Macaca mulatta: one gene and its partner. The protein of the gene in region 2 purifies or fractionates together with the protein of the main gene of each other region. This does not show direct contact. Links are inferred from orthologs where the notes say so. Each region holds a gene or a part of one and is shown on either strand. Other genes may lie near its edges. The genes, in order: GTF2H4 and CDK7.

Evidence for each region.
Region 1: the proteins of CDK7 (region 2) and GTF2H4 purify together in Homo sapiens (affinity purification with mass spectrometry; 7 studies listed by BioGRID and IntAct, with this or other methods). This does not show direct contact. The link is inferred for Macaca mulatta from reciprocal best matches to the Homo sapiens genes CDK7 and GTF2H4.

Annotation. Positions count from the first base shown.
Region 1 is NC_133409.1:152,144,325-152,148,570, forward strand, and holds the start of GTF2H4 (general transcription factor IIH subunit 4), read right to left. Parts: upstream 2,816-4,246; coding exon 2,679-2,815; intron 2,418-2,678; coding exon 2,313-2,417; intron 1,925-2,312; coding exon 1,793-1,924; intron 1,207-1,792; coding exon 1,110-1,206; intron 1,019-1,109; coding exon 930-1,018; intron 714-929; coding exon 602-713; intron 441-601; coding exon 372-440; intron 190-371; coding exon 106-189; intron 1-105. UniProt on the Homo sapiens protein: Component of the general transcription and DNA repair factor IIH (TFIIH) core complex, which is involved in general and transcription-coupled nucleotide excision repair (NER) of damaged DNA and, when complexed to CAK, in RNA transcription by RNA polymerase II.
Region 2 is NC_133411.1:77,322,015-77,325,823, forward strand, and holds part of CDK7 (cyclin-dependent kinase 7), read left to right. Parts: intron 1-2,454; coding exon 2,455-2,565; intron 2,566-3,809. UniProt on the Homo sapiens protein: Serine/threonine kinase involved in cell cycle control and in RNA polymerase II-mediated RNA transcription. Cyclin-dependent kinases (CDKs) are activated by the binding to a cyclin and mediate the progression through the cell cycle.

The DNA of each region.
Region 1 (4,246 bases), on a different chromosome or scaffold from region 2:
GCAACTGCTTCCTGCTACTTCCCCGGGACCCCACTCCTTTTTAAAGGCGAAGGCAACACACCACCCTGTTTCTTCCCTGGAAGCCACTCATCTAGGCGCTCATACCTTCCTCTGGAAAACAAGCCCAAACTCACGCAGATGTTGCAGGAAGTTCAACAGAGAATCACTCATACCTTCCACAGAGTAATCCTGAGGAACAGAGGTTTCCAGCTGGGGTCCAAAACACAACCCACCCACCCCCAACCCCATCATTCATTCTGTCTTTCTCCATCCACCTCTGCTCGTTCTGTGTTCATTCTTATCTTCTCACTCTACTGCCCCACAATTTGCTTTTTCCTTCCCATCTCTATACCCTTCAGCCCCCTGCTTACCTTGCCCAGAGTAGAGAAGCTGAGCTGGAAGAGGAAGGAGAGAATCTCTACTAGGTCCATGCCCCGGCTCTAGGGAGAAAGAGGCAGAGACAAAGGAGGAGGGATGGGAGGGAGACAATGGGAAGAAAGGGACAGAGAAGAGAAAATCAGGGAACAGTCTGTAGGCAGGAATCTCTCAGTGAGACCTGAGAGGAGCAGAGCATGCTGGCAAGTGGCCCCGGCGTCCTCACCTGGGCTGTCTGCAAATACTGCAACATAAAGTACCAGAGCTGAGCCGGCGTGTCCAGCAACAGGAACTGGAAGCCAGCGGAAGTAATGCAGGGCGGCTCTCCAGGTTCAGTACTACAGACAAAGACCGGGACAATGACGGTGATATGCAGAGAAAGACTACTACCCCCACTTGTCCGCTCACATTTTTTCTTTGTATCTCTGGCTGTATTCTACTCAGCTTGCCTTTTCCAGCTAATGTCCTCTGAGCTTGACTAGCCGCAGATACCATTTCTTAGGGACCCAAGGAGATGGCACTGCAGAGAGCTGCTATACCTCCGGTTTCCTCACCTCTTCATGAGCCCAGCCTGGCTGAGGAGCTGAGCCAAGTCCTGGCTGACAGCTGCACTGGGGGAGCCCACCATGAAGTGCAAGACCACCTGAAGAACAGAAGAGAACAGGGAGACCATGCCCCAAGGGCCATGGGAAGTAGAAGCACAAGCAGAGACACACACAGTCCCAAGTGCTTACCTCCCATCGCTCCTCGGCATACTTGTCAAGGGAGGGAACATCCCGGGCATGCTTGTCTGGTCCCAGCTGACTTGTGTCATCAGACCAGGCCTTCCCCCTAAGGCCAGGATGGGCCAAGAGTAAGGAACCCTGGCCAGGAGCTCACACCTGTAATCCCTGTACTTTGGGAGGCCAAGATGGGCGGATCACTTGAGGTCAGGAGTTTGAGACCAGACTGGCCAACATGGTGAAACCCCATCTCTACAAAAAATACAAAAAATTAGCTGGTGGTTGCCTGTAATCCCAGTCACTCAGGAGGCTGAGGCAGGAGAATCACTTGAACCCAGGAGGTGGAGGCTGCATTGAGCCAAGATCGCACCACTGCACTCTGCCTGGGTGACAGAGCGAGACTCTGTCTCAAAAACACACAAAACAAAACAACAAAAAAAGAGTAAGGAACCCTGTCTGTGTTCCTTGCCACCCTTCTGCCATCTTTCCACCCTTATCCTCAGGGGCCATGAGTGGGGGACATTTCCTACACCACACACTGCAGCTGATCCAACTTACTCCTAAAGGAGCTCCCAACGTGGAGACCACAAGGTTCCGGGGAGGCCCCCAGGAGCTCCCCCTCCCAAACTGTAATTAGCGGTTTAATAAGCAGCAGTTCCCCTGCCCTAGCTTAGGAAGAGAGAGAAGTGACATACCCACCCAGAAGGGCAATGCGGAGGTTCTGGCGGAAAATGGGGTTGAGGATGAGGCCCTGGAGCCCGCCTGGGAGCAGCTGGGTGTGCCAGATCCGGAGGCCGCTCAGCAGCCCTGTACTTTCCTCCTGAGCCCTGGAACAGAAGCAGAGAGGTGAGCAGGGTATTTGGAGAACAAAAAGGAGGACCATAAAAGCCACCTCTCTGCCTGTTCTGAACTTGCTGATCCTTGGAACACTGTTCCACAGAGTGATATTAGTATCTGAAGACAAATTCTTTACTGCATTACCTATCAGAGCCTTATTACAGATATCACACATAACTCTGTAAGAGGGAAGATACATCTGAAAGCAAGAGGTCAGCTGGGAAATAAATAAAAGGGAAAAGGCAGTATGCAGAGTTTCCCAAATGTATTTATTTTTAAGTTTTGTGATATACCTATTAATACGTCCTGGAAGTGCTCCAAGGAACAGTAGTTTGGGAAATGTAGCTGTTGAGAAATTTGTATCTGGCTGAGACTTACTTGCTGAATTCCTTCTTTACCCACAGGGCTACAGCAGCTTGTGGCAAAGGCTGCTCCAGAAAGAGCATCCGCATCACCCAGTTCTTAGCCAAGGATGGGAGCTCCCTGAACAGGGACAGAGGTCAAAGGTTAATATCAGAAGCTGCATTGTATCTGCATCTCTGCCCTCAATTAACTCTCAAACATCTCATCTCACTCCACCACAACTTTACCAGTCCTGCTGTTTTGGCCCCCACACTTTGGAGCAATTTCCAAGCCGCACCCCGAGTCCCCACCCCTACCCCAGCCTGCTACACTTTTATCTGTTATATTTTATTCCAGTCCGCAGACCCCATTACATTTCCCTGCCATGAAGGGGATCCTCACCTGAAGACAGCCAGACAAGTGGCAGGGTGCCCATATAATCGGTCCAATACCCCAGGGCTCAGGCCCCCTAAGAATTCCTGCAGATTCCTGCATTGTAGGTGTACTCGGTTCAGTCCCCTTGAAGGGGTGCTCTCCATCACCTGAGGAATGCAGACATCAGAAGCGCACCCCCACCATCCATGCCAGTGTCACCCCTGACCTTTCTGATTCCAGATCCATGAGTCCCCACAATAACCCCACCTTTTCTGTGGCCTCCTTTCCCATGACACTCAATTCCTCTGGTTTCTCAAAAACCTGACCAATCTCCATCCCTTTCTTGCCTCCTCACCCTGTTTCTGCCCTTCAACTCCAGTCTTTCCTCTGCTCCAAGTGACAGAATTGTCAACTGTCCTGTGTTTGCAAGATCATTTTGTATTTCAATGACTTGTCTCATCTTCGGCTAAACAGAGACAAAGAAAATTGAGCCCACACCTCTCTCTTCCATCCCTCCTGGTCAGATCAGTCTATAAGCTCCAAATCTACCCGAACTTCCTATCTTCTATCTCTTAGCCCACTTCTGCTAAGTACGGCGGTAACCTCTCCCCTCCATGCTTCCCAAATCTAAAGCCACCTCTTTTCCCTTCCCAAGTCTAGTTCACCCCATTCACCCTGACCCACGCCTTCCGATCTCCTAGCTTCTCCCTGCCTTCCTCCCACTCCTCGCCTCTCACTCACCTGTCTCTCTCATACCTCTCCCACTCCCGCCCTCCTAGGTCCCCTCACCACTCTGTCGATCCTCCTCGCGCACCCCGAGTCTCGGGCCGTCGCTTAATCGGAGCCAAAGTCTCGCATTGGCTCCTGGAAACTGAGGGAAAGATGGTGAAAAAATGCGAAGAAAAGATGGGGAAAGCGACGAAAGATTTCACAGGCAAGAGCCCAGAATGGAGAATTCAGAAGAGAAGGGAGGTAAGGGGAGGAGTGGAAAAGTGAAGAGGATTAGAATAGACGATGCACACTCCCGGCGCGGGGGATGCTGGGAATTGGAGTCTTGTCTTTGCTCTCCTTAGAGCCGGCTGAAGTGCGTCTGACTACAAATCCCGAAAGGCACGGTGGGGAAGCCGAAAGGCAAGGAGCCGGCTTTTAATTGAGAGAGCGGGAGACACCAGAAGCCGGACCAGTTGGTTCTGCCAGAACCAACTCCGCCCACGCTGCTAACGGCGCATGTAACCCGATGGAGCGGGAGGCGGGTCGGGGAAAGTAGAAGTGCCTGGAGGGCTTCCGTGCGGAGGCGCGCTGTGGCGACTTGGTGGTGAACCGATTAGACTTAGGGACCACAAAACTGGATTCCGTGAGCACAATTACTCCCCGTAAAATTGGGATAATGCACACTCCGGGCCGGACGCGGTGACTCACTGCTGTAATCCCTGCACTTTGGGAGGCCGAGGCGGGCGAATCACCCGAGGTCAGGAGTTCGAGACCAGCCTGGCCAATATGGTGAAATCCCGTCTTTACTAAAAATACAAAAATTAGCCGGGCGTGGTGGCGGGCACCTGTAATCCCAGCTACTCGGGAGGCTGAGGCAGGTGAAT
Region 2 (3,809 bases):
GAATAATCCAAGGATATGGAACGGCTGGAAGTTTGTTGTTGGTTTTTTTGTTTGTTTGTTTGTTTGTTTGTTTTTTGAGATGGAGTCTCTCATTGTCACCCAGGCTGGAGTGCAGTGGTAAGATCTCGACTCACTGCAACCTCTGCCTCCCAGGTTCAAGCAATTCAACTGCCTCAGCCTCCCGAGTAGCTGGGGTTACAGGTGCCTGCCACCATGCCTGGATAATTTTTGTATTTTTAATAGAGACAGGGTTTCGCCATGTTGACCAGGCTGGTCTTGAACTCCTGACCTCAGGTGATCTGCCTGCCTCAGCCTCCCAAAGTGCTGGGATTACAGGCGTGAGCCACCTCGCATGACTGGAACAGCTGGAATTCTTTTTCTTTTCTTTCTTTCTTTTTTGGGGGACGGAGTCTCGCTCTGTTGCCGTGGCACGATCTCAGCTCACTGCCACCTCCACCTCCCGGGTTCAAGCGATTCTTCTGCCTCAGCCTCCCGAGTAGCTGGGATTACAGGTGCCTGCCACCATGCCTGGATAATTTTTGTGTTTTTAGTAGATACGGAGTTTCACCATATTGGCCAGGCTGATCTTGAATTCCTCACCTCATGATCCACCTGCCTCAGCCTCCCAAAGTGCTGGGATTACAGGCGTAAGCCAGCATGCCCAGCCCCAACAGCTGGAATTCTTATACACTGCTGGTGCGAAAGCAGTGAAATGATAAAGCCACTTTGGAAACAGCTTGGCAGTTTCTTATACAATTAAATACACACCAGCCAAATTAAAGCAAAAAAAGATTTCACACAACACATTATCAGAAAGTAATAGGAACACACTAAATGCTCAGACTGGTGGTGATTGAGTCCATAGCCTATTGTGATAGGTCCTTCCAGCATCAGTACCGTTAGTATTATGATCTATAATAGCATCACTAATATTGTGATTGATAATACTAATCAATAATCTTGTGATCTAGCAATACCTCTGCTAGGTATTTATCTAAAAGAAAGAGGCCGGGCACAGTGGCTCACACCTATAATCCCAGCACTTTGGGAGGCTGAGGCAGGCAGATCACCAGAGGTCAAGAGTTTGAGACCAACCCGTCCAGCATAGCGAAACCCCATCTGTACTAAAAATAAAAAAAAAAAAATTAGCTGGGCGTGGTGGCAGGTGCCTGTAATCCCAGCTACTTGGGAGGCTGAGGCAGGAGAATCAATTGAACCTGGGAGGTGGAGGTTGCAGTGAGCCGAAATTGTGCCACTGCACTCCATCCTGGGTGACAGAGTGAGACTCCCATCTCAAAAAAAAAAAAAAGCCAGAATTCAGTTGGTACACAGATGTTGGGCTTTATTAATAATTGTCAAAACTGGAACAATCCAAACATCCCTCATTCTGACTGTACAAACAAACTGAAATACTACTCAGGTATAGAAACAAACTATTGATAACTGCAACAACATAGATGAATCTGAAATGCGTTATGCTAAGTGAAAGAAGCCAGGCTAAAAAGACTATGTATTGAATCATTTCATTTATATGATATTCTGGAAAAGGCAAAACAAAAGGAACCAGAAACCAGATCAGTGGTTATGGGAACTTTGGGGTAAAGGAAAGAAGTAAGTACAGAGGGGCCTCAGGGAATTTTGGGAGGTTACGGAACTATGCTTTGATTATAGTGGTGGTTACATGACTGGATGCATTTGTCAAAACGCATGGAACTATACACTAAAAAGGGTATGCTTTACCTTAAATCTGATTTTAAAAAAAGAAAAGGGGAACTTTTAGTTCCTAACTGATAAATCTAGAAATAAACTGACATTAGGCACAGCTCACAAATAATGCCATCAAAACTCAGTCTTACACTTTAACTCAGCTCTGTTTTCTTCTCTGTTGCCTTCTTCATGTGTACAGTTCTCAATATGGTGTTCCAGATACTTCTAGGTATATGTTTGTAGAGTTTAATAATACCTGAGGAATGAAAGTGCTTTCTTTTCTTTGATTCTAGCACACTTGTCTTGTATCCCTGAACCAGTCACTTGGCCAGGAGACTGCAGTGTGATAATGGGGATGCCTGGGTCATGTGCCTACCTCTGGAGGCCTTAGGTTGGCTCAGTCCTACCTTAACCATGTGGACTAAGCTGAGAAGAGATGGCTTCCCAAAGGAACACTAAATGCTATTGTTAGAAGCATTTAGAAGATGCAAGCAAAAACAACAGGTGTTTGCTACTTTCATGCGAAAGCAGTAGAGGACAAAGTACTGCTTTCTTTCCAAACCAGAAATGCTCTCCCTACCCATCTAACTCTGGAGATTCTGACAGTGCTTCCTGAGGAAACTTAGATAACCTCTCTTGAGAGTCTCCTGTATTGATACTTATATTTTAAGTCTATAAATTGTTTTATATGGTAGAGTTTATTTGAAATAATAAAGGGTACCCGTATATTGTATACTTGCTTTACAGGTTATAATAAAGGATAATAGTCTTGTGCTGACACCATCACACATCAAAGCCTACATGTTGATGACTCTTCAAGGATTAGAATATTTACATCAACATTGGATCCTACATAGGGTAAGGTTTTTAATATTGCTTCTTTATAGCAGTCAAGTTTTATAGAGCCAATTTAGTACATAATGGCCTGAACATGTAAATTGTTTAACAATATGAATTTATAGCTGACCGTTTTATCCCATCTTTTACCTATATATTGTTCTCTTCAGTTGTTCCAGCAGTTGGTGCTGTGAGGACTCCATATTACTATGTGAAATTTAGAACTAGAAGAGATCCAGTCTTTCTTTTTTTTTTTTTTTTTTTGAGATGGAATCTTGTTCTGTCACCCAGGATGGAGTGTAGTGGCACCATCTTGGCTCACTGCAAGCTCCGTCTCCTGGATTCACGCCATTCTCCGGCCTCAGCCTCCCGAGTAGCTGGGACCACAGGCGCCTACTACCATGCCCAGCTAATTTTTTGTATTTTTTTAGTAGTGATGGGGTTTCACTATGTTAGGCAGGATGGTCTCAATCTCCTGAACTCGTGATCTGCCCGCCTCGGCCTCCCAAAGTGCTGGGATTACAGGCGTGAGCCACTGTGCCCAGCCCCCTCATTTTTTTTTTCTTTTTTTTTTTTTTTTTTGAGACGGAGTCTTGCTCTGTCGCCCAGGCTGGAGTGCAGTGGCATAATCTCGGCTCACTGCAAGCTCCACTTCCTGGGGTTCACACCATTCTCCTGCCTCAGCCTCCTGAGTAGCTGGGACTACAGGCGCTCGCCACCAAGCCTGGCAATTTTTTTTTTTTTTTGTATTTTTAGTAGAGATGGGGTTTCACCGTGTTAGCCAGGATGGTCTTGATCTCATGACCTCGTGATCTGCCTGCCTCGGCCTCCCAAAGTGCCAGATTACAAGCATGAGCCACCACGCCCAGCCCCGGCCCTGGCCCCCTCATTTTATAATAGACAAAGAGCTAAGTTGCTAAGTGACCTGGCCATGGTTATTTTTTTTTTCAAGGTTAGCTGCTGATAACAGACAGAGTATTAAAACATGGGTTTTGGCCCAGGCGCAGTGACTCACTTCTGTGTTCCCAGCACTTTGGGAGGCCGAGGCAAGCAGATATCTCGAGCCCGGGAGTTCTAGACCAGCCTGGGCAATATAGTGAAAACTCATACAGAAATTAGGTGGGTGTGGTGGTGCACACCTGTAGTCCCAGCTGCTCAGGAGGCTGAGGTTGGGGAATCACCTGAGCCCAGGAGGCGGGGGTTGCAGTGAGCTGAGACCTCACCACTGCACTCTAGCCTGGGTGACAGGAGTGAAACCCTGTCTC